3 linked regions of the Elephas maximus indicus genome follow. The protein of the gene in region 2 interacts with the protein of the main gene of each other region in a pairwise test. Links are inferred from orthologs where the notes say so. Each region holds a gene or a part of one and is shown on either strand. Other genes may lie near its edges. The genes, in order: GCSH, NMI and BRMS1.

Region 1 (10,791 bases), on a different chromosome or scaffold from region 2:
CAGTGTCTCAAGTCCTAATAATCCAACATATCTGAGGAATATTATACACATAGTACTGTCAGTAATATCCCGTTCCCTTTCCCTGCCCCACCAAACATACATCCAGTGGAAAATCCAATTTTTAAACTTTGCTGCTATTTGTTTCTAATTTTCTTTTAAATATCTCAATATGGCGTCAGTGGGAATAGGGAAATTAATAAAGAAAAGATAGAATATATAATTGGCTTTGTGTAACCTGTGCCAATCTAGGTTTTTCCTCTTCTTCATGTCCCCCTGGTCATGTGTGTATCACCACACCCACAAAAGACTGTCAACACCCTAGTCCTTTGCTTGTTGTTTTTCTTCGCCCTTCCGTAACTGCCCCCATATGAAACAAACATTTATGAATAAAGTACGTCCCCTACCTTAATTTTAAGTGTCAACCTTTAAACATCCTTTAAAACACCACACATTTACCTAACTAATTTGATTTTACTTGTTTCACCTGTGATTGCTTTTTATCCTAAGGGCCCTTCATGGGAAAAGGGCCAGAAGTGGTAAAGGCAGAATAAACAAAATGTTAAAAGTTAGAGACAATCCAATTTAACAAGAGCAGACTGTCACAAATATCTCAAGACAATTCAATACCTGTGCAAAATTGCTGATTCCCACTGTTCCAATACCATTTTCTGTTGTTACCCATTCATGTTTGTCTGTGAATTTACGCACTAAAAGAGAAGACCAATATTTCAGAAAAGCAGTGGCATCGCTTCTTAAAACACTTTTCCCATCAGTGTTGTCAAAAGGCAAGACTTTCCCAATATTTGTGTTTGACTTATTGATGTTGACTTTAAAGAGCACACTGCCCAGGAAGCAACCGAGATCACGTGAAAAGAGCAAATCTCAACACTGATATGTTAAGCAAAAACAGCGTGATTTGTACACCATCTGGAGATTTGATTATTTGCTCTAACATTTCTTAGTCTAAATCACCCCCCACCCACACACACACAAAAATGGAGCACATTTCAGATATGTACTTATTATTGGTCTCTCTTACAGAAACATGGTTTCTCAAACAACTCTCCCGTCTGACAACAGACTTGGAGTGATGCAGTTTTGCGTATAAAAGGCAAATGTGCTTCTTTAGGTAGAACAGACCTAAGAGAGGTTCACTGCAACTGGGTTATAAAGTGCAATTTCACAGGAATGAAACTGACAAAATTCTTAAATATTATTTTAATCTAATCTGCCCTTGAAGAGAATGGCTACCATCATTTAAAGAAGCAAGCTGTAAAATCAGAACACTCACCGCCCATCTAGAGTTGTACTTAACACACTGCATTGAAATAGTCCATCTATCAGTTTCTTTCACGAAGTAGACTATAAGTACAGTGTGAGCAAGACCAGATTCTAACTCATTTCCATTTGTATTCCTAGTTCTAAATACAGTGCTTGGCACATGGTAGGCATTCAAAAGCTGAAGGAATGAAATAATTTTTTTTTTTTTTAATTTGTCAGGTAAAGGGGATTCTGAGCAAAATACCTATTATGGTTGTTCAGCTGTAACACACAGTTCTCCCTATCATTCTGTTACAACTCTAAACAGTTGCCACCAAGTCAGTTCCAACTCTAAACAGTTGCCACCAAGTCAGTTCCAACTCACAGTAACCTCATGTGTGTCAGAAAACCGCGCACCATGTTTTCAATGGCTGATTTTTTTCAAAGTAGATCACCTGGCCTTTCTCCCAAGGAGTATCTGGGTGGGCTTAAACCTCCAACCATTCAGTCAGCAGCCAAGTACATTAATCATTCGCACCACCCAGGAACTCCGCTACAACTCTAGAACTGGTTAACTGTATTACCAGTTATGAGCAACTGAACACTAATGTCGTTTTAAAGCAAGGGCCGGACAATTGTAAACAGCTAACCCATCGAAGTCTACTCTCTTGACTTTGGCTTTGCCATCTTGCCTAACTGCAAACATAACATTAAGGAGTAGGGTTGTTCTGACACTCAATTTAGTAACTGAGTGACAAGGTTAGAGGAAAAGGCAGGAACATTACTAAGCTAAAATGCGCCCAGTCCCACTGGACTTCAAAGTCCTTAGTCTTTTTACTACATCATGCTATTCAGGCTAAGAAAATGATTAGTTCAATTCTCCTTTAAGCCTTGGTCCACCAGGGAAAAAAAGTAGATAGGAGATGAGGTTAATTATTACTTCCTTACCACACTTTGAAATATACGGTTCTTGGCTTCAGAAAATTAGTTTTGAATGATTTATGAAATTTTTACATTTTCTTCCAAAGTCACTGGTCAGATAAAATGTTTTATATTAACATTGATAAGAATTTTTTACTATTATATGCCTTATACTACCGTTTAATAACAAGAAATATTTATCAAGTGCCCGTGTCTCAAGCTATACGTACAGCAGTTACATCATTTCATTTCATCCTCCCATCAACTCTGTGAGGTAGGTATTATCACCTCCATTTTTCTAGTGAAGAGAAACTGAGGCTCTAGAAGTTAAGTGATGTGTCCAAAATCCCATATCTCCTAAGAGGTAGAACTAGAACTAGTGCTGGGTCTAGCTATTAAAAACCAAGGTGCTTTTTTGGGGGGGGGGGTGTTGGGAGACTCTGGTAGTACAGTGGTTAAGAGCTATGGCTGCTAACCAAAAGGTTGGCAGTTCAAATTCACGATGTGCTCCTTGGAAACTCCATGGGGCAGTTCTACTCTGTCCTATAGGTCATTATAAGTTGGAATCGACTCGACAGCAACAGGTTTGAGTTTTTGTTGTTTCGTTCTTTTTAGTTTTTGTTGTTTCGTTCTTTTTTAAAGGAATGGATAACGCTGGGTTTGATCTAGATGTGGAGGGGGTTTGCCACAATGAACATTATTGGAGTAATTAGCAGTACCTGAGTATGGGCTATATTAGATAAGAAACCAATGCTACATTTTTAACCTTGACAACATAACTGCAGTTATGTAAGAGAATATCCTTGTTCTTAAGATTCACTGAATATTTAAGGATAAAAGATCATGATGTGTGTGGTTTGTATGGGTATATCTATCAAGAGAGAAAAACAGATGACGCAAAATGTTAATGATTGTTGAATGAATTTTCAATTATGACAGTTCTTTGTATTCTTGTAACTTTTTAAGTCTGAAATCATTCTGAAACTAAACAAACAAAAAAAAAAACCTTAGGTGCTTAACCAAATAAAGGGTATTGATGTTTGGGGCAATATTTAACTAGATAAGTAGAAAATGCAAACAGCTAGAGATAATGTAACGTTAACAAAAAAAGCAGGCTTAAATTCAGTTTTTATCTTAGAAATGTTTTACCCTTGTATTCAAATTGGTAATGCATTGATACACATCACATAGTTGAGGGAATGGGGAGCTAATCTTCATGCTTCCGTGTTTGGAATAAATGTCAACTCTTTTAGTCCCAAATGAATTTCTAAAACAATCAGTTAATGAGAAAACAGCCATCACAGATATAGGCCTCCTAAGAAGCCTTATAAGGCGTGATGAGTGTCACGAATATTTGGGCATAAAGTAAAATTGTTTTTTCCCTGTGATAACTGTGCACAAGTAGCACTGGTGCAAAAACACCGACAGGCGAGTCTCCCCCGTTAGTTCAAGTCCGTTTAAGCTAGGCCTCATTTCAGCCCCAACAGACAGCACCGACTCAGTAAGACTTCAGCAGAACGTCTTCGGTAGAGTCCAGCCGACTTTAGCCTATTCTTTAGGAAACAGTGGCGTCTAGAACGTTATGCTCGCTTTAGCTAGCAAAACTCTGGATCCAGTGCTTTGATTTTGCTGTTTTTGCTTTAACTTTGCTCAGAGTTGTCATGTCTGGTTCCTTTAGTGAACTAAGTCTCCAGTGTTTCCACGTCCAGGTTCTCAGGATGCACACAAACAATGCGAGAGGAACTACCGTCACCTCGGAGCGTAGCGGTGCGGGGTCCTGGTCGCTGGCGGCGAGCGGCCGGCTCACCTGCCCGAGTCGGACTAGGCGCCTCTGCCCGCCGGGCTCCAGTGTGGTCCGCCTCCACCCAACCCAAAGCACAAAGGTGGACTGTGCCTTCCCACGTCGAGTTGAGGAGAGGCGCCGGCCGCCTAACTCTGGGGATCCCCGCACTAGGCAACAGCGTGGAAACAACGTGAGCCGGGCGCGACCAGCTCCCCATCGCTCCTCCCGGCCCCTCCAAGCCTGCCCGGCAGCCCACGTGCGGCCGTAGGTCCCGCGGAGCCCGCCCCCGCCCGCGCTTACCCGAGAGCAGAGCGCGGCCCGTGCGCAGCGTCCGCACGTCGCCGGGCCTGGGCCCCCAGGGCCGGGGCGGGCAGAGAGCGCAGGGCGCCGAGAGCGCGCGCAGGCTGCAGGCTGCGGCCCGCACGCCCCGGGCCGCTTGCAGCGCCATGTTCGCAGAGTGCGCAGGGTCGCGGCGCAGGACTCAGGCTCCCGGCGGCGGGGCGGGGCGGGGCGGGGCGACGCGGCCCCTGGCTGGAACGAGCCGGCTGGATCGCCGCGCGGGGCGGGACCCGGCGGGCTGAGGCCGATAGGTCCGTACGCGAGGGGCGCGGACTCCGGGGCCGGGAGCGGTCCCGGATAGGGCGATGTGCGGGGGGCCGTGCACATGGGGCGGGGCCTGAGGCCCGGGTGAGGCGACGGGCGGGGGGCGGGGCAAGCGCGAGACGGGGGGCCGGGCGAGGCCGCTCGGGGCGGGGCTTAGCGTCCAGGGGCGGGGCCCTGGCCTAGGGCCACCCTGGGCAAGTAGGAAGTGCTTAGTCAGCAGCTCGGGGCTCCGTGTGCTTTAAGGGCTCCGCACCTGCGGTGAGAAAGGCTCAAGGCGGAGTGGCTGGGCCACTCCTGCGCGATGCCGAGCCGTTGAGCCCTGGGTCCTGGGGAAGTCAGGGCCCCTCCAGTCCTGTTAAAGGATGCAGTCCCCACCTTCAACAGAGGATCAGGGTCACCCAGAGCAGGATTCATAGGTCCAACCAGAATCATTGCAGCTCAGAGATGGGTTTTGGGAGTTGGCCAAAGCCGCGCTCACACTTCTAGTCTAAAAGAAGTCTAAGTTTGTTTTAGACCTTTGAAAAACTGAAAATAGTCCTGGAACCCCCTTTATTACTTAACAGACTGCAATGTGCTCACACACCCTAAACAGGGGACAGACAGAATCGTGAAGATCACAGAGGGAAAGGACTTGTCTTAGGGTCAAAAGTGACTTCTTGGTGAAGACTGAACCACAGCCAGTCAGCTACTGCAGGAGTGTCCAGAAGCAGAGGGTTAAGACCCATCGTGGACAGTGCTTTGCTTAAGTGACTAGCACAGCAATCAAGGCCTTCCAAGAAAAGCAGAAGTCATTGCCCCCACTCAAGGAGACAAGCTGCCAGCACAGATTCTAGGAACTGGGCATGAGTCAGCAAAGAAACACCTCAGTGAAAAACAGACCTCAAGTGCTGCACTGTCAACATCACAGGTGGGCACCTTGAAGTGTGTGTGTGCGTGTTTGAGGGGGCCATGTGCTCTTGTACTGAGCTTCTGCCCAATATATAAACAAGGGATGGTGACCACATCTGTGGAGTGGCTTGCAAACACTATCATCTTCGTTTCCTGTGAGTAAATAACAGCCATGTATTGAGTTCTTACTGGGTGGCGCAAACAGTTAAGCACTCGATTACTAGCAGAAAGATTGGTGGTTCTAACCCATCTAGAAGCAACTTGGAAGACAGGTCTGGCAGTGGGCTTCAAAAGGTCACAGCCTTGAGAACTCTGTGGAGCAGTTCTACTCTGCACAGATGGGGTCACTGTGAGTTGGAATCAACTCCAAGGCACCAACAACAACTATGTGCTAGTCACTGTGCAAACATTATTTTTTAATCCTGTCCAAACCCCTTTGTGGTAGGTATTACTCTGATTTCATAGGTGAGGCAGAAAGGTTGAGTAACTTGCCCAGGAATGTGATGGAGAAAGTATTTTATAGCTTAAGCAGCCAGTAGGTGGCAGAGGTGGGATTTGACCAGTAGCTTGACAGATTCACAAGCGAATGCCCTTAAGGTATGTAATACTTCCCTCCTTTTGGGATGCTGACTGGTTCACACTGGTCTAAACTCCTGATCTTGGCTAGCTTCTATAATAATCAATATTCTGATTTTATTGTTGCTTTGATATCATGCAAGTCAATGTAGCATAATGTAACCTATGCCCTAAAATAAATATTTATTCCCAACTCCACCAGCTCATTTGGTGGAAAGAACAAGACCACATATAAATCTGTAGGCTACATTACAGACCCTTCCGCAAAAAAAAAAAAAAAAAGAACTGTGTCATGTTTTTTATTTAATGAGCATTGAGGATAGTCAGAAATTCTTTTTTTTTCCCTCTTCAACCTGGTAATCCTTGTAACATCATCCATAGCTTGAGTTTGAAAGATCTTCTCATTGCACATTTGATATAGGCACCTACAGGTTGCATTTGGTCACTTCTTCCAGGTGTCTCAGAAGGAGCCAGCTCATCTCTTTGAGCTGTTTTTTTTTTTCTCTCTTATAACAATAACACTGAAAGGAGTTGCTAGTTTGATATTTACAGTCAACGGGGAAGTAGAGAGTAGAAGAGAAAGAGGGAAGGAAGAGGTGAAGAACTTATAACTTCTTGAGATATGAGTTAGCACTTTCCCTATTTAAAACAAATACACTGTATGTATCAGAGTGAGCTTGTGTACCAGTCTGTCAGGAGATATGTGTACCCCTCAAAATGGGTTATTTGGTGAGCATCTCTGTATACATAGCTCATGTTCTTACCTGATACAGTAAAGAATGGATGATGGGCATTTGGATGCAGAGAAGTTGATTAAATCTCCCAAGGCTTTGTGTATATGTTACATGGGTCTATGTTTATAAAGAATCCTGGGCCTGTAGGTTTGTGGGTTTTGGTTATCAGGTTGTAGGGTGTGGTAGTGTGGGATCATGATCAACTGTCATTAAAAGACATTTGTGATCTTATCCAGCTAGAAGACTGGCAGTTGTTCAGTTATAGGACTGATTATGTCAACTGTTTAAAGACCTTACCAAGCACCCAAAAATCAGCCAGTGAAAATCCTATGGATCACAACAGTCTGATCCACAACTGATCATGGGTATTGTGCAGGACGGGGCAGTGTTTCTTTCCATTGTGCATGGGGTTGCCATGAGTTGGAGGCCAACTCGATGGAGCTAGCAACAATGACAACAATCAAGTACCAGTTTCCTCTCATTTCTCATCTCTGCCATCTTCAGATTGCTTCCCCATGGTCTCAAGGTAGCTGCCAAAGGTTCAGGCATTGTACCCAGACAAGACAATGTAAGAGCCCGTCACTACGTGTCTCTTTTTATTGGGAAGGAGACATTTTCCAGAAGCCCCCTAGAGAGCTCTCTCATTTTTCATGGGCCAGAACTGGGTCACATGCCTACCCTAAGCCACGTGTCGGCAAGAGTCATGGGTTACCATTTAGTGCAGTGGCTCTCACGTTTGAATCAGCTGGGGAGCTTAAAAAACTATCAATTTATTGGTCCCAGCCCGGAGATACTGATGTATCGGGATGAAACCTGGGGATTCTAGTGTGCAGCCAGAGTTGAAAACCACTTGTGTAGATCACCAGTTTTCAGAGTTCATCTAAAGAACACCAGCCCTGAGTGAGATGCTTTAAGACCTGATTCCCTGGCCAGAGAAGTCTGGGGATGAGACACACTTTTCCTCTCATGCTAATCTCCAAAAAAAACTAAGCCAAACCCATTGCCATCAAAGTTGAGTCCAACTCACTGTGACCCTCTAGAACAGAGTGGAAGTGCCCCACAGGGTTTCCAAGGTTATAAATCTTTTTGTGTGTATGTATGTGTGTGTGTGCTTTAGATAAAGGTTTACAGAGCAAACTAGTTTCTCATTAATTAATACACATATTGTTTTGTGGTGTTGGGTGCCATCCCCGTGACATGTCAACACTCTCCCCTTCTCAACCCTGGGGACCTCAAGGCTGTAAATCTTTACAGAAGCAGACCGACACATTTTTCTCCTGCGGAACGTCAAGTGGGTTTGAACTGCCAATCTTTTTGGTTAGCAGCCAAGCACTTAACCACGACACCATCAGGACTCCCCATACTCATCCCAGGAGGGAGTGTTTAAAGTTCTGACAGTTCTCATGCTAAAGAATTCCTGTAGCCTCATTTAACTTGATGTTTCTCATGTTATCTTGATTCAGATACCTTTTGGTATGTGACACTTATTAGCACCTCTCAGACACAGTTTGAGAAACCCTGAATCAGAGTCTTTCAAAGGTAACTCCTGACCAACCAAGAAGGGGAAATAATTAGTTTGTAGAGAAGATTTTTTTTACCACTAATTCTAGACAGTATTTGTTTTATTTCTAGGAGGAAATACATTTGACTCTTACAGAAATACAGACTCTCACAGTCATTGCAATTTTATATATGTGTGCATGTTTTGTGTTGATATATTTATTTATTACATGATGGGCTTGGTAACTCTTCTGTGGACACAGAAAAACATCGACCTGGAGAGATTATGGAGTTGGTGGTAAACGTAGGCCCCGGGCTCTGCGCATTCCGATGTAGATGACCGATGTGCTTAAACCTTAGGCGCAGCGTGTGCTGGTTGAGGGGGCCCAGCTTCTGTCAGCTCCCCAGACTTCTCAGTGCTGCTTTGAGGCGCCTCTCTTTTACATCTAATGCCCAGGAAACTGAGTATTTTCATCAGCAGCAAATCAGCAATCTCTCCTTCCTCTGACAGCTGCAGGAGAGAAAGAACCATGCACCGTTTATAGAACCATCCTGTTTGGAGGCTTTTCATTCTGAGGGGAAACCATGGTTTAATGTCTGGTGTGGTCACAGCGTAAGTCACTTTATGTTTTAGAGTTGCTTTTATGTTGGGATTGACCTTCCTCTGGGAATCCCAAGAGTTGCAATTGAGTTGACTGTGACTCACGGAGATCCCATGTGTGTCAGAGTAGAACTGTACTCCATAGGGTTTTCAATTTTTCTGTAAGCAGGTTGCCAGGCCTTTCTTCCGAGGCACCTCTGAGTGGACTCAAACCCCCAACCTTTCATTTAGCAGCCCAGTGCACTGGCCATTTGTACCACCCAAGGATTTCTAAAGGGTATACATCCTCCTTTATCCCCAATGGATTTCCTCTTTCTCTCCACTGAAGATGCCATGGTTTCCTGGCAGCATTTTAAATTTCCAAGTTAGAACTGAGAAAGCCTCAGCTGTTACTGAACATGAACTTAAGCAGCACTTGCAGCATACAAACCTTTTTTTTTTTAAATTGTGGTAAAATATAGGTAACAAAATATTTGCTATTTCAACCATTTTTTACATGTGCAATGATTTTTTTTTAAATACCTGTGTCTGAATCACACTCCCAAAGATTCTGTTTTTGTTGGTCTCTGGTGTGGCAGGAGCAGCAGTAGTTGCCAAAAGCTCCCAAGTGATTCTAACATGCAATCGCTGAGAATCACTGTGTAGTGAACAGAGTTCTGCATTGGATAGGAGGCCCAGGTTCTAGTCTCAGCTCTGCTTTCACTTGCTTGTTGTCTTAAATTATTTCCTCCTCTGGGCCTCAGGCTTCCCTCCTATGAAATGAGGGCTTTGAGCTACACTGTCTATTTAAACCCACTTGTGTTGAAGTGAGGCAGTGGAGGTTCAGTGGTAGAATTCTCGCCTTCCATGGGGGAGACGTAGGCTCTTTTCCCGGCCAGTGCACCTCATGGGCAGTCACCACTTGTCTGTCAGTGTAGGCTTGCATCTTGCTGTGATGCTGAACAGGTATCAGCAGAGCTTCCAGACTAAGACGAACTAGGAAGAAAGGCTTGGCGATCTACTTCCAAAACCCCTCTGGACCGAAATAGTCCAATCCACAACCAATTATGGGGATGGCACAGGACTGAGCACCATTTCATTCCACTGGACGTGGAGTCACCATTGAGTCAAAGACCAACTGGATGGCAGCTAACGACAAGTGTTTAAATATCCAGAAAGCTCTGTTCAGGTGAGAGTGAAGGAATGCTCAGAGGAAGAGCTATCTCCCCTCCCACCCTCCACCCCTGCAAACCTCTGCCCCATTCCTGGGCACCACTAGAATGACTTCAGCCAGTTCAAGGTCTTTGACTATTGAAGAACAGGCCAAAGGGACTCACCTGATGATATTTTTGCTCCTCACTGAAGGCCACCAGGATAACAGAGATAAATAGATTCAATACCACGAATGTCATGAACACAATGCAGGACCCAACCAGGAAGGAGCCAAGCACTGGGCTATCGTCCAGAACCTGCCAGGAGGAAAGCCAGTCATCCCTTGGTGCCCCAGGGTCCTATCTGCCACCACCCCCACTAGGCAGCCTCAGAGGGGAAAACTGGTTCCTGGAGCTGGGCCGAGCCTGCAACCAGGAAGGTTCCCTTCTGCCCTTAGGGCTGAGAGTCCAGGTGGTTCTCTCAAGAGGGGAGCGAAAGGGCAGCACCCCCTTCTCCCCACTCTGCCAACTACAAAGTCAGGACACTGTGTCTGGCTAGGGCCAAGAACAGTTCCCTTCTGGGGACCCCCAGCATGGCCCTCCCCTGAGTAGCAAGTGGCTAGCTGTTCTTTGGTATTCAGAGGTCTGCTCCCCCCACCCCCGCCAGGGGGAGCCAGGCGCCCTAGCATGGGGCTGTCTGCGTGGGGGAAAGGGAAGGGTTTTATTTGTCCAAAGTTGCTCTGTGCTTGCCTATTCATTGAGTGGGGTGGTAGGGGTGCTTTTTCTAATTTTCAT
Region 2 (10,511 bases):
CTTTCGGTTAGCAGCTGAGCTCTTAACCACTGTGCCAGCAGAGCTCCCCTGGAATGCATTAGAAAGTTCAAAAGTAAATTAGCATAGAGTTTTAGCCTTGTAGGTATTATATTGATACATGTAAGCTGGGCTTATGAAAAATGTCTTTGTTGTTATATCTAGCTACAAGGATATTTTTATAGGCAGTCATTTTGATGTCACCCCTCTGACAATGTCACTTCGTATGGTCTGCACCCCTACCCCCTCCCCTGCGTTCCCCTAATGATGACACTGAGTATTACTGATTATTATATATTGGTAGCCTATATACTCCCCTTCTCAAGGAAATGCTCAATATACCCAAGGACAGCCTTGGTCCAAAGATAACACTCTTCAGCTTTACATATAGTTCGATAGCCATAGGCAAGATTTTGAATTTCCTTCCATACCCTTTTCTCCCTTGATTAATAAACCAAACCTATTATCCTCGAGTTGATTCCTACTCATAGTGACCCTATAGGACAGAGTAGAACTGCCTCGTAGAGTTTCCAAGGCTATAAATCTTTATGGAAGCAGACTGCCACACCTCTCTCCCACAGAGTGCCTGGAGGCTTTGAGCCACCAACCTTTTGATTATCAGCTGAGCTCTTAACCACTGCACCACCAGGGCTCCATTAATACTTAGCACTAAATTCCAGATAACAAAGGTAAATGAAGGACTTGGATTCATCACCTTATCCATTAAAGCCCTTATTCCCTCATTCAGTTCATCCCATCCCACAGCAAACCTCCAAAACAATCTCAAATTAGCACGCCTTCCCTTTCTCCATTGCCACCACCCCCATCCCTGCCACTATCAATTCTCCCTGGACAATGGCAACGGCCTCCTTACAGATGGTTCTGCTACTCCTCTTTCCCCACTACAATTATTCTCTGTACAGAGTTCAAAAAGATCTTTTAAAAACATAACTTAGATCATGTTATCCCGAGTAGTGTGAACAATAAAGGCTCTCAGCTGAAGCTGCAAACTGAAAGATTGGTGGTTTGAGTCTACTCAGAGGCACCTTGAAAGAAAATCCTGGTGATCTACTTCTGAAAAACCATCCCCAGAAAACCCTGTGGAGCACAGTTCTACTTTGAACACATGGGTCGCCCTGAGTCAGAATCAAGTCAAAGACAACTGGTAGTATGCAGACGTGGAGAAGAAATTGACAGAGCAGAGTTTTGGACAAAGTAACAAGGGATGAGATCTCTCCGGGACAGAGGAAAAAGGATTAGCTTGGGACAGAGGAGGGGCACCTTTTCTCTAAAATGAGGAATATCGAAATAAATTAAACTCCTTTTTAAAAGTAAAAGGCAAGCTGAGATCCATTTAAAGCAAAAGGCTCTAAACTCCTATAGTGTCACTAGCCAGGTAGATAGAAAAACATCTGGATTGGCAGCCTTGCATTAGGCCATAGGTTCTGGGGCAAGCTAGACTATACATTGCCTAAAGACATTCACATTCCAAAAATTTTAAATCATTGTGGTGGCCAGACAAGACATATGTGAAAGCCAGATTCAGCTGCTGCCTTGGGCCACGTTTACAAGCCTGACTTAATGAAATATGCTGTTTATGTTAAACGTGGTGATGTTTGGCAAATCAGGTTTCTCCACTCGAAAAATGTTAATTTTATAATTACTGAGATTCAATGATGCAGCTTGTAACAAAATTTTGTTCACTGGGAGCACTGAGTCATATATTAAACTCACTGATGCATTCAGATACGTAATAATTGCTACAGAAATCATTAGCAAGGACGTTCGTTCATAATTTTTTAGAAGAAAGTCCTCACGCAGGGACCAGGGTAGAAAAAGAAAAATAGAAAAAGCTTAGATCCTAGCTCTGTCCGCTGAGACGGCCTAGATGCAGTAACACCCCACAGTAATGAGGAAAAAAAAAAAGTTTAGAATACTTGTAGGACAGAAATTAATAAAAGAAACTTAACAGAGCTGTGTAAAAGTTGAAGCCCTGGTGGTGCAATGGTTAAGAGCTATGGCTGCTAAACAAAAAAAAGTTCAGCAGTTGGAATCCACCGGCTGCTCCTTGGAAACCCTATGGGGCGTTTCTACTCTGTCCTATAGGGTTGCTATGAATTGGAATCAACTCAACAGCAACGGATTTTTACGAGTATAAAAGTTTTATTGAAGAACAATGGGGGCCAACTTAACATAAAAAAAAAAAAAAATGGAGATCAGAAATTTCTAGTGGCACCAAACGTCATGATTGTTCTCCCGTTTTAGCAGTGCCCAGTGTCACAGAAAACAGTGATCTGCATTTATGTTGGATTAGGGAGTTTCAGGTGTAGGAATGAAGAAGAATAAGAACCCAAGAGTCCACAACTAATCTTCGATGGTCAATAATGAAGATAGATAAATGTAACTAGAGAAAAAAAATCACACACATAACTGTGGTAGCCAGCCTCTAATATGGTGCTCAGTGACCCCTCCCCCTTGGTATTCCCTCCTGTATTGAGCCCCCCTCACATTGTACCAGGATTGATCTGTGTGGCCAATAGCATACAGCAGAAGTAATGGTTGTTTCTTCTGAGATTGTTATAAAAGATAGTGGCATACAACTTGGGCGCTCCCTCCCTTGCTTGCTCTCTGTCTTGGATCTTTCACTCTAGAGGAAGCCACCTGCCATGTTGTAATGATACTCAGGCAGCCTATGAAAAAGCTCACCTGGCAAGAAATGGAGGCCTCTACTCAACAACCAGTGAAAAACTGAGGCCTGCCAAAACCACATGAGTGAGCTTGGAAGCAGATTCCCCAGCCCTAGTCAGGCTTTGAGATGACTACAGTCCTGGCCATCAGCTTGACTGTGACCTCTTGAGAGAACCTGAGACAGAACCACCTAACAAATATGCATTTCCAAATTCTTGACCCACAGAAGCTGCTAAATTTATGGTAATTTTTTTTTTTTTTTTAATAGCAATAGATGGCTAATATAAACATGGAAACTGCGGACTGGGGGAAAGGAAGTCCCTTGCCTAAAAATATTACAAGCCTGAGTTTCGAAGCTTTGATTGAATTTTCATAGAACTCGGAATGGTGTAGGAGTCCCTGGGTGGCACAGATACTTAAGTGCTTGATTACTAACTGAAAGGCTGGCAGTTTGAACTCACCCAGAGTTGCCTTGCTATCTACTTCCAAAAAATCACAGCTTTGAAAACCCTATGGAGTACAGCTCTACTCTGACACTTGTGGGATCACCATGAGTCAGAATCAACTCAACCGCAACTGGTTTAGGAATGATATGTGTGACTCAAAATGGCAAAAGAAAAAAAAAGGGGGCAACGCTGTTTCTTACTCCAAAAATTGTAGACTGAGATGGGGGGAGGGGACAGAGGGGAGAGACACACAAAATGGACTAACATTGACCTGGGACATAATGTGCATTACGAAAGAAGTGACTCTACTTATTATAGGCTCCACTTAGGAAAATGCTTTTTTCCTTCCTTATGACCTCATGTGAAGCTACAATGAGACAACACCCTTAAGGGTCTTAGAAGCCCATTTGTCTAGCTGAGGTTCTACTAGACATTATCTTAAACTTTTCATAGATCTTAACAAGGAGTCTTAAGAGTCCCTCGGTGGTACAAGGGGTTAAACTGCTCAGCTGGTACAAAAGGTTGAAGGTTCAAGTCCATCCAGAAGTGCCTCAGAAGAGAGGCCTGGTGATCTGATTCCAAAAAAAAAACAGCATTGAAAACCATATGGAGCACAGTTCTACTCTGACACACAAAGGGTCGCCGTGAGTGGGAATGACTGGACTGCAGCTTTTTTTTTCTAAACAAGGGATCTTGTAGGCACCCCTGATTTGGTCTTTACACTTTCTTACCTTGAAATTTTTTTGCCTTATAGAAAATCTAGGAGTGAGAAAGTGTGGTATTTTTCAACCCAGCAAGCCCTGGGTAGTCCATACTTCCTCTTTATTCTGCTTGCAAGGAGAATAGCTCCTTCTTTAGGTCATCTCTCTTTTACAATACCTTTTCATATTCAGCTAAAAGAAGCCATTTGGCACCTTCAATATTCTCATTAGCCAGTTCCAGTTTTATTCCAAGTTATAGCAGGTGACATTTTCACTCATGTTTTCACTACTATATGGTGGCACCTTTTGCCCTTTTCCCAGCCTTCATAGCAATTTTCCTCACTATTCTTCCAGCCTCCATTAGTAGTCTTCTTGCTTCCTTTCTAGCCTGAGTCTGCTGCCTGATCCAAACCCAATGCTTTAAATTTGTGTGGCAACAGCACCCACATTTCTGTTTCAGTTATCTATTGCTGCGTAACAAACCAGCCTATTATTGTTTAGGAACTTCAAATAATAATTTTTTTTTCTCCTGATTCTACAGGTTGGCATTCTGAATGGTTCTGTGGGCCCCATCTGGGCTCTGGGCTGCTGATCTTGTAGCTGCATTCAAGTCGAAGCCAGGCTGGACTCGAAGATCCAAGATGGTCTTGCTCGCATATCTGAGACCATAGTGCCGGCTGTTGCCTGGGGAACATTGGTCTTCCATGTGGTCTGTCATTCTTCAGTAGGCTAGCCTGTGTGTCAGGGTGTCATCACAGCATCATGGTCAAGGCTGACCCAGATTCCAGACAGTGGAGACTCATTTCTTGAAGTGAGCGGCAAGGACATAGTACATAGGGATAGGACACAGAGAAGCATGATTTATTCAAGGAGCCCTAGTGGCACAGTGGTTAAGTGCTCAGCTGATAACTGAAAAGGTCAACAGCTTGAAGCCACTAGCCACTCCACAAGAGAAGGTGTGGCAGGCTACTTCCGTAAAGATTTACAGCCTTGGAAGCCCCATGGGGCGGTTCTACTGTGTCCTGTGGTGTTACTGTGAGTCGGAATTAACTTAACAGAAATGGGTAACCTTGTCATGTATTGAATTGTGTCCCCCAAAAATATCTGTCAACTTGACTAGGTCATGATTCCGTTGTATGATTGTCTACCATTTTATCTTCTGATGTAATTTCCTTATGTGTTGTAAATCCTGTCACTATGATGTAATAAGATGGATCAGTGGCAGTTATGCTGATGAAGTCTACAAGATTAGGTGGTGTCTTTAAGTCAATCTCTTTTGAGATATAAAAGAGAGAAGTGAGCAGAAAGATGTGGGAACCTCACGCCACCAAGAGGGCAGTGCCAGGAGCAGAGCGCATCCTTTGGACCTGAGGTTTTTGCGCTGGGATGCTCCCGGACCAGGGGAGGACTGATGACAAGGACCTGCCTCCAGAGCTGACAGAGAGAGAGGGCCTTCCCCTGGAGCTGACGCCCTGGATTTGGACTTCTAGTCTACTGGACTGTGAGAGAGTAGGCTTCCCTTTGTTGAAGCCATCCACTTGTGATATTTCTGTTATAGCAGCACTAGATGACTAAGACACCCCTTCAGCCCTATGCTAAATAGGCTGCTGCTGCACCTGCCATTATTGAGAAGTTGGCCACACAGCTCCCAGCCTGAAAACAACACTGGCTCTGCTGAGATTCAAGTCAGATAAATGAACACATATATGCCCATAACAACAGGGAAGCTGGAAGCTCTGTCTGATTCTTCACTGAGATGCAAGGATTTATACCATGGACGACTATCAAGATACAGAGAAAGTGTTCAAAAGATTCAGAGTACACAAATGACAAATGTATGTCACCTACCAAACCCTTTAGTAAAGTTTAAAAACATATTTTAACCTTAAGTGGTGGTGTTGCAGAGAATGAAGGAATAGGGCACTAAATAAAAGTGAAGTTTATCAATCTACTGGTGCCCAAGCAGAGGAAATTACATGCTATTTAAAGCCTGTGCCCAAGAAGACTACCAGCAAAATGAGTGGTAGGTCAATGATTGTACAACTCGAAGAATGTAATCAGTGTCACTAAATTGTACATGTAGAAACTGTTGAATTGGTTTATGTTTTACTGTGTATATTCTCAACAACAACAACAAAATAACATTTAGAAGGAAAAAAATTGAATGGTGGGTCTATGTACAACTGAAGCAGCTAAGAGAATGCAAGCTCCAGACTAAAGAAAGATAATCTGTACCCAAAAACAGGCAAAAGTAATCTGCAATGAAAGAAATCCACAGTGCTTGCCTTTGGAGGTATGAAGGATATTGACTTAATGGAGCATGAGGGAACTTTCTCAAGTGCTGGAAGTCTCCTATGTCTTGTTTTAGGTTGGTAGCCATATGGGTGGATACAATTATCAAATTTCATTGAACTGAGCACTTAAGATTTGTATATTTTGTTGTTTGTAAATTAGACATCTATTAAATAATAAAGAACAAAGAAAAAAATAAACCTCTAAAGAGTATTCTGTTCTTATTTCTTAAAAGCAATAGTTGTAGTATCAGCATTCTGAACTCTTTCAGTCAATGTTAAATAAAACATTATCATCCTAACATCATCTTCTCCCAACCCAAGAACCTACACGTGGTGCAGGAATAAATGAAAAAGATGATGAATCACCAGAGAAAAGCTATTTTTTTAAAAAAATGTAATCAGTTTGCATAAAATCATCTCTGACTCAAATGCAGGGATAGAAGGAAGGAGTTCCATTTTCTCACTAACAACAAAATAAACCTAAGATTTGTCAACTGCCGGATAGAACATAACACTATTTTTCTCAAACCTTTTTATATTAAAACAAAATTCAAAGTTACATAGCACGCAGAAGGTCTTTAAAAGGTTCTAAAAATAAAATGAGAATAAAAAAAATTTTTTTTTTAATATCTTCAAGGAATGATGTTTTATATTAGTGAAAGTTAAAAATGACTCACGCGAAAAAACTTAACAATTTCTTTTCTTTCTTCCTTTCATTTTCACCCTTCCTCTTTATCACTGTCCTCATAATTCTTGACTTCCTCAACATAAGATATTGTTGTCTATTATTTAAGGTATAGCTTTGGTGGCAGTAAAACAAAACAAAGTAATCAAACAACAACAACAAAAAGTACTAAGAGTGAATTGAACAAAATAGCAGTTAAAGTTAACTTCTCTCCCACATTACATTCTAAGCATAAAAAAAGCATAAGGGTGTGGCAACTCCACAGTGTCAAGGATCCTGACTTCCTATCACATTGCTCTGCAATCTCTGTGGTGCCTCTTTCACCCACATTTTCATCTCTACGTTCCAGAATTTGCATTCACCTATTCCTTCTTTTATTCCTTACGTTCTATCAGCCAGAAATTAGTCACAGCCATCCCTAGATGTAGGAGTGAAATCTATCACTTGGCAAGCCTCATGCCCACCCAAACATTTCATCATTAAGAAGAGTGGGAGATTTCCCTGGAGCAAAGGAGAACAAAGAACACTGAAGACTCAAGGAAGCAATTAGTCCAAAGGTCTAATGGCCCACAGGAACCACAGCCTCCTCTGACCTGAGACCAGGAGAACTAGATGATGACTGGCTACCACCAACAACCACTCTGACCTGGATCACATAGAATGTCCCAGTTAGAATGCGTAAAAAATGTAGAACAAAATTTAAAAAAAAAAAGAAAAAAAGACCAGACTTATTGGTCTAGAACAGACTGGAGGAACCCAAGAGACTTTTGCCTTAAAACACCTTCCAGCTTGGAACTGAAGATACTCCCAGAAGCCACCTTTCAGCCAAATAATGTTGTTGTTAGGTACTGTCATTAGGTGTTATTAGGTGCTATGAGTCAGTTCCTACTCATAGCGACCCTATGTAGAACAGAGCAAATCATTGCCTGGTCCTGCGCCATCTCACAATCATTGCTATGTTCCAGCCCATGGTTGCAGTCATTGTGTCAATCCATCTCGTTGGGGGTCTTTCTCTTTTTTGCTGACCCCCCTACTTTACCAAGCATGATGTCCTTCTCCAGGGACTGATCCCTCCTGTTAACAAAAGTACATGAGACAGATTCTCACCATCCTCCCTTCTAAGGAGCATTCTGGCTGTACTTCTTTCAAGACAAATTTGTTCATTCTTCTGGCAGTCCATGGTATATTCAATATTCTTCACCACTACCATAATTCAAAGGCATCAGTTTTTCTTTGGTCTTCCTTACTCAATGTCCATTTTTTGCATGATATATGAGGTGATTAAAAAATACTATGGCTTGGGTCAGGTTCACCTTAGTCTTCAAGGTGACGTCTTTGCTTTTTAACATTTTAAAGATATTTTTTGCAGCAGATTTGCCCAATGCAATGCATCGTTTGATTTCCTGACTGCTGCTTCCATGGGCGTTGATTATGGAGTCAAGTAAAGTGAAATCTTTGACAACTTCAATATTTTTTCTGTTCATCATGATGTTGTTTATTGGTCCAGTTGTGAGGATTTTTTGTTTTCTTTATGTTGAGGTGTAATCCGTACTGAAGGTTGTAGTCTTCAATCTTCATCAGTAAGTGCTCATGTCCTCTTCACTTTCAGCAACCAAGGTTTTGTCATCTACATATTGCAGGTTGCTAATGGGTCTTCCTCCAACCTTGATACCACATTCTTCTTCATATAGACACCAGTAAAGAATGTGCCTCTTAGAACAATCAACTATATGAGACCAAAAGGGCAACATTTGACCAAAGTCAAAGATGAGAAGGCTGGGAGGGAGAGGGAAATGGGGATCCCAGGGAGGAAATGGGAATTGTACTGACACATTGCAGGGACTGTAATTAATGTAAGGGAAAAATTTGTATAAGAATCTTTGATTGGAAAACTAGTTTTCTATGTAAACGTTCACCTAAAGCATAATGTTGTGTTCTAAATAAGTAAAAATAACAGGAGAACAGATGTGTTATCTTGTGTTGTTGTCGATTCTGACTCATGGCAACCTCACGTATTACAGAGTAGAACTGCTCCACAGACTTTTCTTGGCAGTAATCTTTACAGAAGCTAATTATTCTGCAGAAACCTTTTATTCTGCAGTGCTGTTGGATGGGTTTGAACTTCCAACTTTTCAGTTACCAGCCAAATGCAAACCATTTGTGCCACCCAGGGATCCAGGAGAACAGATGTTTTTGTCTTGTTCCTATGAGTCAATTCTGACTCCTAGCTACTCCACAGAACACAGTAAAACTGTTCCATGGGATTTCCTAGCCTATAATTTTTACAGGAGCAGATCGCCAGGTCTTTTTTCCTGTGGAGCCACTGGGTGGTTCAAACTGCTGACCTTTCAGTTAACAGCCAAGTGCTTAACCTTTGCTCTATCTGGGATCCTTGGGAGAACAGATACTGGAGAACAATTAGCAGACAGTGCCTCAGTTGCCTCTGATTCCCTAAAAACATAGGTGTACTTCAGATGGTACTTCATAAGGTGGATCATTCGAAAGAAAACACCATTTATATTCTGTTCACTAGAATTTTGTTGAGGATTTTTGCATCTATATTCATAAGAGATATTGGCCTGTAGTTTTCTTGTGGTGTCTTTGTCTGGTTTGGGCATCAGGGCTACGTTTGCTTCATAGAATGAATTAGGGAATATTAATTCCTTCTCTATCTTTTGGAAGAGTTTAAACAGCATTGGTGTCACTTCTTGTCTATATGTTTGGTGGAATTCACCAGTGAAGCTATCTGGTCCAGGGCTTTTTTTTTGTTGAAAGGCTTTTGATCACTGACTCCATCCTTTCACATGTTATGGATCTGTTGAGACTTTCTATTTCTTCTTGAGTCAGTTTGGGTAGGTTGCTTCCTTCTAACAATTTGTCCATTTCATTTAGATTATCCACTTTGTTGCCATACAGTTGTTCATAATATTCTGCCATAATTCTCTTTGTTTCTATTAAAAAAAAACCCACTGCCATCGAGTCGATTCCGACTCACAGCGACCCTAGAGGACAGAGTAGAACTGACCCATAGAGTTTCCAGGGAGCGTCTGGTGGATTCAAACTGCCGACATTTTGGTTAGCAGCCGTAGCACTTAACCACTATGCCACCAGAGTTTCCTTATTTCTATTGGCCGGTTACAATTTCACCTCTTTAGTTTTTTTATTTTGGTTATTTGCACCATTTCTCTTCTTTTGTAGATAAAAGTTTGTCAGTTTTATTGATCTTTTAAAAGAACCTACTTCTAGTTTTATTGATTCTATTGTTTTCAATTTTATTTATTTCTGCTCTGATTTTTGTTATTTCCTTTCTTCTGATAGATTTAGGCTTAGTTTGCTCTTCTCTTTCTAGTTACTGGAGTTGTCAAGTAAGGCTGTTAATCTGATATCTTTCTTATTTTTTTATGTAGGCATTTATTGCTATAAGTTTCCCTCTGAGTACTGCCTTCACTGCATCCCGTAAGTTTTGATATGTTGTGCTTTCATTTGACTCTAAGAAATTTATGACTTCTCTTTTGATTTCTTCTTTGGCCTATTGGTAGTTTAATAGTGTGTTGTCTAATTTCCATATGTTTGTGTATTTTCCAGGTTTTTTTTTTTTTCAGTTATTAATTTCTAGCTTTACTTCACTGTAGTCAGAAAAAAATACTTTGTATAATTTCAATCTTTTTAAATTTATCAGGGCTTGCTTTGTGACCTAAAA
Region 3 (11,356 bases), on a different chromosome or scaffold from region 2:
AGCTGAGTTTGCCTGGACATGATCACATGACACCAAACGACCATGAACGTGTTGGTCCTCTGTCCTCCGTGTCCCCGGGTCTGGAGCTGGCCCTGGCTGCCCCCCCCAGCTTCAGGCCCCCGTGGCTGGAAGGATACCGGAGACAAGCGGTGCCTTCTTCCTCTTGCTGGGTGGCAGGGAGTCCCAGGTCCTGGAGCTGCCTCTGGCGTGCAGTTTCTCATCCCACCACTCTGTGCCCCAGAGGCAGGGTCAGGGTGCCAGCCCTCAAGGGTGCCCCCCACCCTCACTGCCTTTGTCCTCCCCTCCCCTGGGGCAAAGAACTCTGGGCTGAGCTGGGAAGCCTGAGTTCAGGTCCGGACTGCACAGCTGTGCACCATGGGAAAGGGCACTGCACTGCTGTGAGCCCCAGGTGCTTCCTTTGTTCAGCAGATGGGGGAGGGTGATGGGGGGGATGACAGGGTGATGATAACAGCTGCTGCCTCCTGAGGACTCCACAGTAGCCTCTTGGCAGAGCAACTGACATGAAGAAGGAACATAGGTGCTGTGGACACGGAGCGGACTGTGGTGACCATATGTGGGCGTACCGGCCCGCACCTCCCGTTCTGGGGAGAGAGCAGGGACAGGAGGGCATGGGGCCCACTCTGCCCAACCCCTCACTGCATGCCTGGCCCTGGGCTGGGCCCTTCCATGCCTGCTCTCAGTCAGTCCTCTTGGCGACCTCAAGGAGCAGGGCCAATGACTGCACCCATGTGCAGTCAGGGCAGCTACGTGCAGAGGAGTGCTGGGCACTGGCAGAGCGCCTCACCCGAGCTGATGTCCAGGCTCTGGCGGTCCTCTTCCAGCCTCTGGATCCGCTCCTGCAGCTCCCCCTGCAGGGTGTCGTACAGCAGCAGCTTCTCGCTCTGAAGGAGGCCGGAGCAGCTCAGTCGGGTGGGGCCCCTCAGGCCCTGCCCACACCCCTCTGCAGGCGCCCAGCCCCTCACCTCCAGGTGCTGCTTGGCTCCCTGCAGCTCACACTCATACTTATTCCTGATCACGTCCAGACAGAAGCCCTTGTAGATGCCTGTGGAAGAGGGAGAAGGGGGCCCCCCTAAGGCAGCGGTTGAGGTATCCGAGGAGGGCTGGGAGTACAGGGCAGGCAGGGATGAGGAGGGGGACACAAGGGGTGACTGGGGCCTGACCCCAGGACACGGGACAGCCCACACACCTGCCACCTGAATGCGAATCTTGAGGCTCCGTTGCAGCCCCCCCAGAGGCTCCGTGTACTCGGGGGCTCTCTCAGCTCCCACTTCCTCCAGCCGCCACCGCAGCTGGCTCAGTCGCTCCCTAAACAACCTGGGAGGTGAAAGGCAGCCCCAACTTGTCGGTCCGTTGTGCTCTTGGGCAGATACACGCAGGGCCCCAGCTCCGTGGCAGGCCCTGGTCAGGTGCTCACTCACTCTGGACCTCAGCCGCCCGCCAACACCCAGCCTACTGCCTCCTCCCCCAGGACCGTGAAGACCAGCCCTAGGTGTGCCCGCTCACTTCTCCTTCAGCTCCGAGAACTGCTTCTCCAGGTCTAGCATCTCACTGACGCACTCGCTGCGACGTCGCTCATAGTCCTCATCATCCATCTCTGGGGACAAGAGGCCAGTCAGGGCCTCTGACGAGGAGCGGGCGGGTACCACGTGTGCGTGCGCATTGGTGTGTACAAGTGTGTGTGCACATGTGTGTGTACACTCACCGGAGCTCTCCTCCTCAGACTCTGTCTGACTGCCACTCCGTTCCTCCTCACTCTCTTCCTCCTCCCCGTTCATCTCGGCCGCTGAGTCGCCCTCTGCTTCCATCTCTTCTGTGTCCTTGCTTGGGGGCTGGACGGGCATTTGTGCTCTGGGAGAACAGGTGGAGCCATCACTCAACACTGGCCATGGTACAGAGCTGAGTGGCCGAGCAGGGAGTCGAGCCCAGCCTGACCCTCAATTAGAGGGGACAGCAGGGAGGTGACTGTCCTCGCCACCCTGACGCATGCTGGGTGAAAGGGAGCAAATGGCTCCGGGTGCACATCTCCCCCAGGAGCGTGGGAGCCATGGAAACGCTCATGCCCTCTGACCCCGTTGGCGATCCCAATCCTGGGCGAACTGGCCAAGCACCAGTTCACAGAACGGGAAAGGCCAACGACACGAGGCGTTACCACCCAAACGTCCCACCCCCAGAAAAGGCTGGGTGGGCTGTGATGGCACTATGAGAGCAGGCATAGGGAGGTGGAAAACACTGCAGGTACAACAGTAAGTGTGGCCCTGAGGATCCACAGTTGCTCTGCCTGTGACCTCCCTGTGGAAGTGGTATGAGGACGAGGTAAGTTCTTCAAGAGGCCAGGAACCAGCAGGGCTCTGCGTGAGCGCTCTTTCCCTTTCAGAAGCCCCCGAGGGCTCCCCCTGCCTATGGGACTCGGCTTAAACTTCTAGTGGAGGCTTTCAAGGCCCTTCCCAGACTGGACTAAACCACCCACCCAGCTCCTTGGCCCCAACCATGCACTGGTGAGTCCTCAAAGACACCACGTTCTCCCTCCTCCTCTGCCCATCGTGCACTCCTCTTCTCTTCCTGATAGCTTTCTACATTTCTCTGTCTTCGTGCTCTGCTCAGTTATTTCCTTCTCCTTTGCAGAGATCTCCTCAAAGGCTGTATCTCAGCAGCCCCTTTGGTGACGCTGGGAGTTCCAGCATGTACCCCTTCTCACTCCACACTGTCTGCCTTGGTGTTTGCACCCTCTTCCATGGCCTGAACAACTCGCCCTGTGATGGTGACCAGATCTCTGTGCGGGCGATTTCACCGGGGCTTAGACCCAGGTCCCCTTCCCTCCCCCCATCCCTTCTCTCACTTCTCATTTTCTGCTTCCTCTGGGACCCCACATCATCAGTACTCCCCTCTCTTCTGTAGCTTCAACTCTCCTTGGCAGGCTCCTTCCCATGAAACCGTAGATGTGCTCAGGTGTTTTCCACCATTAAGAAAATGCGAAAACACAAACCAAACCTCACCCTATTCCGCTTCACTGCTTTCCACGCCACAGCTCCACTTTCAAGGCCTTGTATACACTTGCCCTTCCTGCTTCCTCACCTTCCATTTGCTCCCATCTGGTCCTGCACCCATCACTCTCTGCTGAAACGGATCCCACTGAGTTAACCGACAACCTCCTTGTGGCTACTGCCAGTATTTTTGGGGGCTATCTTAATTGATTTCTCAGCAACATCAGACACAGCCAAGCAGTCCTTGTATTCCCTCACTGAATATTTATTGAACACTTAATATATGCTAGGTGCTGCCAGGCACTATGGCAGGTACAGGGGAATTCCTGGGGCAGGCAGGCAGTATTTATCTCCAGGAACTTACACGTTCCTGGGAGAAGAGGCAAAGCAGCAGACCACTACCACGGTGCGAGAAGAGTTAAGCCTGGGGGCACAGGGGAGGGGCCTCTAAGACCAGGAGCTTGGGGCAGCAGTGAGGGCTGCCAGGGGAGACACAGCAGATGGATGAACTGACTAGCACAGGAGGGAACATTCCAGGTAGAGCGAGTAGCATGTGTAAGGATACAGAAATGAGAGAAGGGAGTGGGGGAGGGTTGGGGACCTGGGTCTAAGCCTCAGAGAGAAATCTGGGCCGTACAGAGATCTGGTCACTATCATAGAGTGAGTTGTTCAGGCCATGGGAGAAGGTATGGCACCAAAGCAGAAAGTGTGGAGAAGGGGTCCATGATGAAACTCCCAGGGTCACCAAAGGGCTGCTGAGGAGACTCCCGCAAAGGAGAAGGAAATTAGGGAGAGGCAGAAAAGAAAAACCCCAAAGCTATGGCCAGAGAACATTTTAGAAGAAGTGGCCAACAACAGTGTCTAATCCTGCCAAGAGAGCCCCTAAGGGGGGGATTTAACCACCCTTCCAGCAGAGAATCTCACTGCCTCCTGGGGGCTTCTACTTTACTAAGCTCCTCTTCTAGCTTCGCTGGCCACTGCTCTGCAGCCCTTTAGATTGGTGTAGACTCCACTCCCTCCACGAAGCCTTCTTTGCATCTCCCTTCTGTTTGCTCATTTTCCTTCTGTCTCCCCAGCCACTCTGTGTGCCTCCCCAGGGCAGGGGCTACAAACACATCTTAGTCAACTAGCCCAGTACTGGCTCCCTTGATAAAGGACTGGGAAATATAAGTAAACAAAACAAACTCTTGCAGGTCAAAGGTTGGTTTTTACTTCTTGGTAGCTTCAGGTCCTTGCAGTGAAATCAAACCCAAAGTGTCTGTTAACTCTGGTTGACACCTATTCAAGTTGTGGCAAATGCCTGGCCTAGGGGAGAGTTTAGTCACATTCCTCAATGATTTCACCATGGATTCGAACCTGAAAACCTTAGCAGACATGAAGGTTCATTCCTCCACTTCTCGGGTCTCCAAACCAGCCTCTCATCTTTCCCACTTCCAAGTCTCACTGCGCCACCAGGGCTCTTTCAGTTCCTGCAGTTCCCTCCATCTGCAATTCCTCTTCACCGTAAGTCTCAGCCTAAGTCCTACAGCTTCCAGAAGGCTTTCCGGATCAGAAAAAGAGGGGGTGTGTGTATGTGTGTCTCCTCCAGCTAACTCTAATTTTACTGAGCAGTAAATTAAGTCACAACTTCCTCTTCTTACGTGTGTGCAAAACGGGGATAACCGTTCCTGCTCTGACTGTTGTAAAGCTGGCAAGGGTTAAGGGATGGAAAAGCAAACTGAGAAGTGCGGTGGGCATGCCATCTATCTTCTCCGACTCTGAACTCCAGGAAGGCAGCCTCCCTGGAAGGCGGGCCCCTCCCCACTTTGGCCCCTTTCGCCGCGCCCAGGAGGCTCGGCCTCGTCTCATCTCCGGTTGCACCGGCGCGGGCGGGAGAATCGCGGGCTCCCCCGCAGCCGGCTTCGGCCCCGCGGCCCCGCGGCCCCGCACGCGTCCAGCCCGTTAAGTCTCCGCTTCTGCCCCGAGAAGAAGGTTGGGCAGGACGCGCCCGACTAGCCCAGAGAGACCCAACCAGCGGCTGGGGGGGGCGATACGCACCGCGGGGGGGGGCTCCCTGGCCTCAAGTCCGGGTCTCCCTGAGAGGCGCCCAAGGGTGCCGGTACCTGCCGCGGCGCCAGGCTCCCGGAAGCGCTGCGCAGGTCCCTCTTTTCAGGGAGGCGGGGCCTCGCCGCGCTTCCGTGTGCGTCATCTCGGGGCGCCCGCCGGAGAGCTCACAATTGGATGGCTGGGGAGAGGCATGCTGGGATACCGCGGGCCGGTCTCCATGGCAACCGGTGGAGGTTCCCATTAGGCTTCGGCCTGCGGCAAAGGCCCCCGTGGTTTCCTCGCTTCGCTGCCCACGCCCTTCGGTGCGCAGCAACCGCCCCCGGCGTCCAAGGGCTGAAACCAGGGCCCCCCTCCCTCCAGCTTCGGAGAGAAACGGAACCAGCTGTGGGTGTGAACACTCATTTATTTACACGTTGTCATCAGTAGGCAAATACCCAGCACCAGCCTATTCGAGGGTACAGATTTTTTCGGATTATCGCCATCAAGCCTTCAGACCCTTCCCTCCTTCAGAGCCCCCAAGGGTGGAGGCGCTGGAGTTGTTAAGGCTTCTGCCCAAAAGCTAAGAACCAAATTCCACACCTTCATCTGATTTCTTTCCAGAAAGCCCCAGTCGTTAAGTACCCCCATGTCTCTGAACTTTCAACCCTGTCCCATTCACATTTTTTGCTTTCCTACCACTCACACACCCCCGGTTGTTAATAACAATAGTGATAACAACAATAATAATACTGTAATAATATTAATAATACTTCACATTTGTACGAAGCTTACAGAATGTTTTCATAGACAGCTCATCTGAGCCTCCCAACAGTTCTGTGAGGTAGGCATTCTCACCTCCCTTTTTACAGACAGAGTAACTGAGGCTCAGAGAGGTAAAGGGATTTGCTCAAGGCCACACAGCTAGTTAGTGGTAAAGCTAGGACTTGATCCTAGCACCCCATATTCAAGTCCAGTGTTGCAACACCACAGCTCCCTCTGCAAAGTGGAGTGACGTTTCTTACCCCAGTCAGGCCTAAGGGGCGGCCCGAGGAGTCAGGAGGCTGAAACTTCTCAGACCGGGGGAAGGAAGGGCTCAGCAGCGGCGTGGGGAGTTGGGGTACTTGGTCTTCAACTCCTGTCTGAACTGGCGGTACAGGACCTTATTGCGCTGATTTTCAGCCTCCTTTTGGGGATGGAACTTCAAAGCTTCCTTGAAGCCCTTATGAACTAAGAAACCTTCGTTCAAAACCTCGAAATTGAACCCTGCCATGTGCAGCTCACAGGCCTGTGGAGTGAGAGACAGGTCAGCAAAGTGAGAGACGTTCCTGGGGCCCAGATCGACACCCCTAAAGCCAGACTCTAGCACCCCAACCTTCTGGAAGCATCTGGATTTTCCACACCACCCAACCATTTCCTGACCTGGGATCTTACCCGGCCTCCCTGCCTCAGTTCCACACTGGGCCACTCCTCGTATCTCCCTGACCTACTCCCCTCGCCCATCCCTTTTCCCCCCTCCTCCCCTCCACCTCCTCCGTCTCCCCCTCCCCAACCCCCCCTCCCCTGCCTTCCCCTTATGGGCACCTGACTGATGCGATTGAAGCCGTACTGCCGAAAGCGCTCGTCAAAGGGGGGCACCTTGCCTCCAGCCACATAGAATGGCTCCCAGGGGTCCTGCCAGGGCACCACGTAGGAAGGCCTCAGCAGGCTCTCTTCTGGCAAGTTGACCCAGCGGGAGTAGTTGGTGGGCGCCTGGCAGGGCGTGCACAGCCCATAATAGAAGGGGCGCACCTCGCCCACCTGGTAGAGCTGCACCAGCTCCGTCTTACTGACCGGCATGCGGCGGGCTCGACGGATCTCGAAGGCAGGCACCACCAGCGCCGTGCCCGCCCACTGTCTGCTCTGATCCAGCAGCTCCCGTAGGCCTCTCCACAGCCCCTCGCTGGGCACCATGTCCACGTCGATCACCAGAGCGTAGTTGGCCCCCTCGCGAGCCAGATTTCTCAGCAGGTTATTGGGGTAGGAGACGTTGGTGCCCAGCGCGTAATTGATCCCGGGTTGGGCCACCCTGGCTAGCTTGTCAAAGACCTCCTGGCAGGAGCGCAGAAGGGCAAACTCCCCGGGCTCCCGGGGATCGGGCACGGCGGCCTCGTAGCGCGAGGGACACACCAGGTGCATGGCGACCCTGGAGCGCATGTCGGGGCAGTGGCTGCTCAGCGCATAAGCCAGCACCGTGGCCAGCTGCGCCTCCTCCTTGGTGGCCGCGAACACCGACACAGACATAGGGCCCTCCCAGCGCTCCAGGAGGCCGGACAGGTGCAGCAGGTTGTCCACGCTGGCGTGCGTGGCCAGGATCACATCGTTGGGATCCATGGTGGTCTTCAGCAGGCTCCTGTAGATGCGGTAGTCACCGCTGGCGTCCAGGACGCCTCCCGAAGCCAGCGCGGTGCGGAGCTGCGCCTTGACCTGGTCCACGGACCTCGGGGACGGGGGGAAGAACTCGAAATACTGGTCTTGTTCCTCCTGTCCGTGCAGCCCAGACAGCAGCGACAGGTAGAGCAGCTGCAGCATCGCCACGAGCATGAGGGCGGCCAGAAGCAGCTGGTAGAAGGCGCACCGGATGGCGTAGGGCATCTGCATGGCTCTCGGGGCTCAGAGTGCGTAGCAGGGACCACCGACCGCAGCGTCTGCCGGCCGCGGGGAGCCGGGATTTACTGCAGCGTGCCGAGCGCAGCCGAGGCGAACCGAGTCCAGCCGAGCCTGGCAGCCCCGCCCACCGCCCACAGCCGGGCCTCGGCCGCGCGCCCGCCCCGGAGACGGAGGAGGAGCCACCGCGTCCGCGCGCTTTGCAAACTGAGTCTTCCTGATCGCGGTGCCACTGCTGCCGCCCCTGCCGCTCCGGCCGCCCCACCGCCTCCCGGCCCGCCAGGGGTCCTCCGGGACACGCGCCCCCTCACTCCCCACCGTGCGCGACCCCTGAACCCAGCGCGTCCTGAAACCTCGATGGGCTCGCCCCCGAGTCAGGGAGGGGAAACCGTGGCAGAGTTCTGCAGCAGCTTGGTGAGGGATGGCCCGGATTCCCGGCTGCGGCGGGCGGAAAGGAAAAAAAAAAACAAAAAAAAACGTTTATTTCTGCCGTGTCTCCTTATCGTAGATAGCCTAAGGGGTCTACGCTGGAGAATGGGTAGAAGGGACTCGGAGAACGCGGAGAAGAAGGGTGATAAGAGAATGTGGAGAGAGCCACACTGTAGGGGACGAGGTGGCCGAGTGGTTAAGGCGATGGACTGCTAATCCATTGTGCTTTGCACGCGTGGGTTCGAATCCCATCCTCGTCGGTCGCGTTTTACGAAAGACGTGATTCTTAATTTTCTACATCTTACCAGTCTAAAGCAGGAAGTTGAAAAGAGTTGAGCTGCGCTTGGCGCTACCCTGGGGCTCCCTCTCCTCTTTGTTGGCCGGCCGTGCGTCTCCCACTTCTGCTCCCGCGTCTGCCCACTCCAGGTCTCTGAACCTACTGGGGAGCGGTCAAAGGTGTGATTTTTTTTCTCTCTAGAAAGAGGTTCCGGAAGTTGGTGGCACTTAGAAGAACAGAACCAGGATTCTGGCCGATGCTAACTTGAGGCTCAGTGTGTTATCTGCAGGAATTGGAGAAGTTCCCTCCTGTCTGAAGGAGTGGAAGTTTGCTAGGAAGGATATTTGATCATTTAAATTATTACTCTATGTCGCCTACTGATTCCGCCTACTCCTCCGTCTCCTCTCCCTTCTCCCAGAAATCCTATAATAAACGTTTGTGGATTCATTGATACATGGAATCTTTAGAAGAGAAGAGGCTGTGGGGAAGGGTCTGACCTGAAAGGCCAAATCGATTATGTAAATAATTATGTACTAGACACATGGCCTTTGCGGCCCGAGCCAGGGCTCCCATATAGGACAAAGGGCTGTGAATCTTCAGAAGGTGCATTGGAACAGACGGGGGAGGGCCTGAAATATCAGTACGAGGTGTTTGCCAGCTATTCCACAGGCAGCAGGGAGTCAGTGAAGATTGTCGAGATGAGGAGTGGCCAGGAGACCTATATTCTGCAGCCCAGTGAGATAATACCTACTTGACATCTGCTCCCTGCCAGGGGCTGTGTTAGGCACCTGAGATGGGACAGCTCCTGTCCTTGAGAGTTTTCACTGGTACCTGTGGCAAGAGAGAGGAGAAAGGTGAGCACAGATCTTGCCAGCACAGGCCTTGCACACTGGAGATTCAGGGGCTGGATGTGGTGCCCATATGGGTTTTCTTTGGCCTGATCAGTGTTTAAAAATAACAGTTTGAATCACATTAGTTGTTAACTTTCGGGAGTCAGAAGATTTCACGGAAAATGCACATTTCCAACTTCTGGATTTAAAATCCTGGAAGATCTGGCAATGCCAGGCCTGCAGTTCTGCAAGGTGACAATTGTCCAGAGCTCCACCTTTGTAAACAGTCTTTTCCTTACCAAATTCTCAAGCCTGGCACTTCCCTGTCTGCCTGGACCCTTGAGCATTTGTGTTTCATGGTAGCACTCAATACCCATTTACTGCCTTGATGGATAAGATTTTCCCAGGCATCCCCCCTCTCGATTAGCAAAGGAGCACTTAGCTGTAGGACCACCAGGGGTAGAAGACAGTTTCCCAGACACTTGACTTTCACCAAGGTGAAGGATAATGAGCTGAGGTTTCCTGAGCCGCCCCCCGCCCAAAAAAAACAAAAACCAAACACATTGCTGTTGAGTCGATTCCAACTCATAGTGAACCTATAGGACAGGGTAGAGCTGTCCCATAGGATTTCCAAGGCTGTAATCTTCACGGAAGCAGACTGCCACATCTTCCTCCCTCGGAGCAGCTGGTGGGTTCAGACTGCCAATCTTTTGATTAGCAGCTGAGGGCTTAACCACTGCACCACCAGGGCGCCTTCGTGATTTCCTGAGATCCTATTATATGCCTGCCCAGGTCAAGGGCTTTGTTGTTCTTAGGTGTCTTCGAGTCAGTCTCAACTCGTGACCTCACAGTGGACCTACCTGTCTTAGTTATCTGGTGCTGCTATAACAGAAATACCACAAATGGGTGGCTTTAAGAAACAAAAATTTATTTCTCACAGTTTAGGAGGCTAGAAGTCCAAATTCAGGGTGCCGGCTGTTGGGGAAGGCCTTCTCTCTCTGTCACCTCCGGTGGAAGGTCCTTGTCTCTTTTCAGCCTCTGCTCCACAGTTGCTTGTTGTTCTTGTGATGTGACATCTATCTTCCCACCTCTACTTGCTGTCTTCTGTGCCTAATCTGTTTCTTTCATATGCCAAAAATGATTGGCTTAAGAAACACCCTAAAAATGGTATGACCCCATTAACATAACAAAGAAACCCTACTGTCAAATGAGATTACATCCCCTGGGATGTTGTTGTTGGATGTCATCCAGTAGATTTTCGACTCATAGTGACCTTGTGTGACAGAGTAGAAGTGTCCCAGAGGGTTTTCTTGGTTGTAAGCCTTTATGGAGCAGATCACCAGGCCTTTTTCCTGGGCAGCCACTGGGTGAGTTTGAACCACCAACCTTTGGGTTAGCAGCAGAGTGCTTAACCGTTGCATCACCAGGGCTCCTTTCCACATGGATTCCAACACACGTTTTTGGAGGACACAATTCAACCCTTAACACTGCCCCATGCTCTTCTCCCTCCTCCCATAATGCTGTCTTCCTCCTCAATCTCTCTACATGCAACATGGCCCTCATAGCCTGGCTCTGGAGCTCCTAACCCTCTAAAACCTTCAGAACCACCTCAGTCTGGAGGGAGTCCTCTGTCTTCAAGTGGGGGAAGGACTGAATTCTCGTCTGAACCAAACAAGTTAATGCTTGACTTCCCTTAAGACACCCTGGGGTCTCTGGAGAGACTTTTCTTGGCAGCAGGGCAGGCAGAGTATGGGCTCTGAAGTTGGAATCTGACTTTGCATGGACTTAAGCAGGATAAGTAGTCTCTCTCCTTCTTTCTCTCTTTTTGTTTTATAATATCTTTTTTAAAAATTTGAGGTAAAATTCACATAGCATGAAATTGTTTTTGTTGGTGTTAGGTGCCATTAAGTTGGTTCTGACTCACTGCGACCCTATGTACACCAGAACAGGCTGCACCGAAGGCATGGACAGAGAACAAGGGTCCAGGAATTGACGGAATACCAACTGAGATGTTTCAACAAATAGATACAACACTGGAGGTGCTCACTCATCTGTGCCAAGAAATGTGGAAGACAGCTACCTGGCCAAATGACTGGAAGAGATCTATATTTGTGCCCATCCCAAAGAAAGGTGTTCTAGTCGAATGCAGA

The links.
Region 1: the proteins of NMI (region 2) and GCSH interact in binary tests that used the Homo sapiens proteins (3 or more experiments, as listed by UniProt). The two-hybrid records come from large-scale screens. The link is inferred for Elephas maximus indicus from reciprocal best matches to the Homo sapiens genes NMI and GCSH.
Region 3: the proteins of NMI (region 2) and BRMS1 interact in binary tests that used the Homo sapiens proteins (3 or more experiments, as listed by UniProt). The link is inferred for Elephas maximus indicus from reciprocal best matches to the Homo sapiens genes NMI and BRMS1.

What each region holds. Positions count from the first base shown.
Region 1 is NC_064839.1:47,024,915-47,035,705, forward strand, and holds the start of GCSH (glycine cleavage system H protein, mitochondrial), read right to left. Parts: upstream 4,446-10,791; 5' UTR 4,413-4,445; coding exon 4,265-4,412; intron 708-4,264; coding exon 628-707; intron 1-627. UniProt on the Homo sapiens protein: The glycine cleavage system catalyzes the degradation of glycine. The H protein (GCSH) shuttles the methylamine group of glycine from the P protein (GLDC) to the T protein (GCST).
Region 2 is NC_064824.1:48,470,582-48,481,092, forward strand, and holds the start of NMI (N-myc-interactor), read right to left. Parts: upstream 4,551-10,511; coding exon 4,372-4,550; intron 1-4,371. UniProt on the Homo sapiens protein: Acts as a signaling pathway regulator involved in innate immune system response.
Region 3 is NC_064825.1:129,487,012-129,498,367, forward strand, and holds the start of BRMS1 (breast cancer metastasis-suppressor 1), read right to left. Parts: upstream 5,169-11,356; 5' UTR 5,040-5,168; intron 1,870-5,039; 5' UTR 1,863-1,869; coding exon 1,724-1,862; intron 1,616-1,723; coding exon 1,525-1,615; intron 1,336-1,524; coding exon 1,208-1,335; intron 1,064-1,207; coding exon 984-1,063; intron 903-983; coding exon 806-902; intron 231-805; coding exon 138-230; intron 1-137. Other genes in the region: B4GAT1 (beta-1,4-glucuronyltransferase 1), read right to left, coding at 6,121-6,312, 6,609-7,664. UniProt on the Homo sapiens protein: Transcriptional repressor. Down-regulates transcription activation by NF-kappa-B by promoting the deacetylation of RELA at 'Lys-310'. Promotes HDAC1 binding to promoter regions.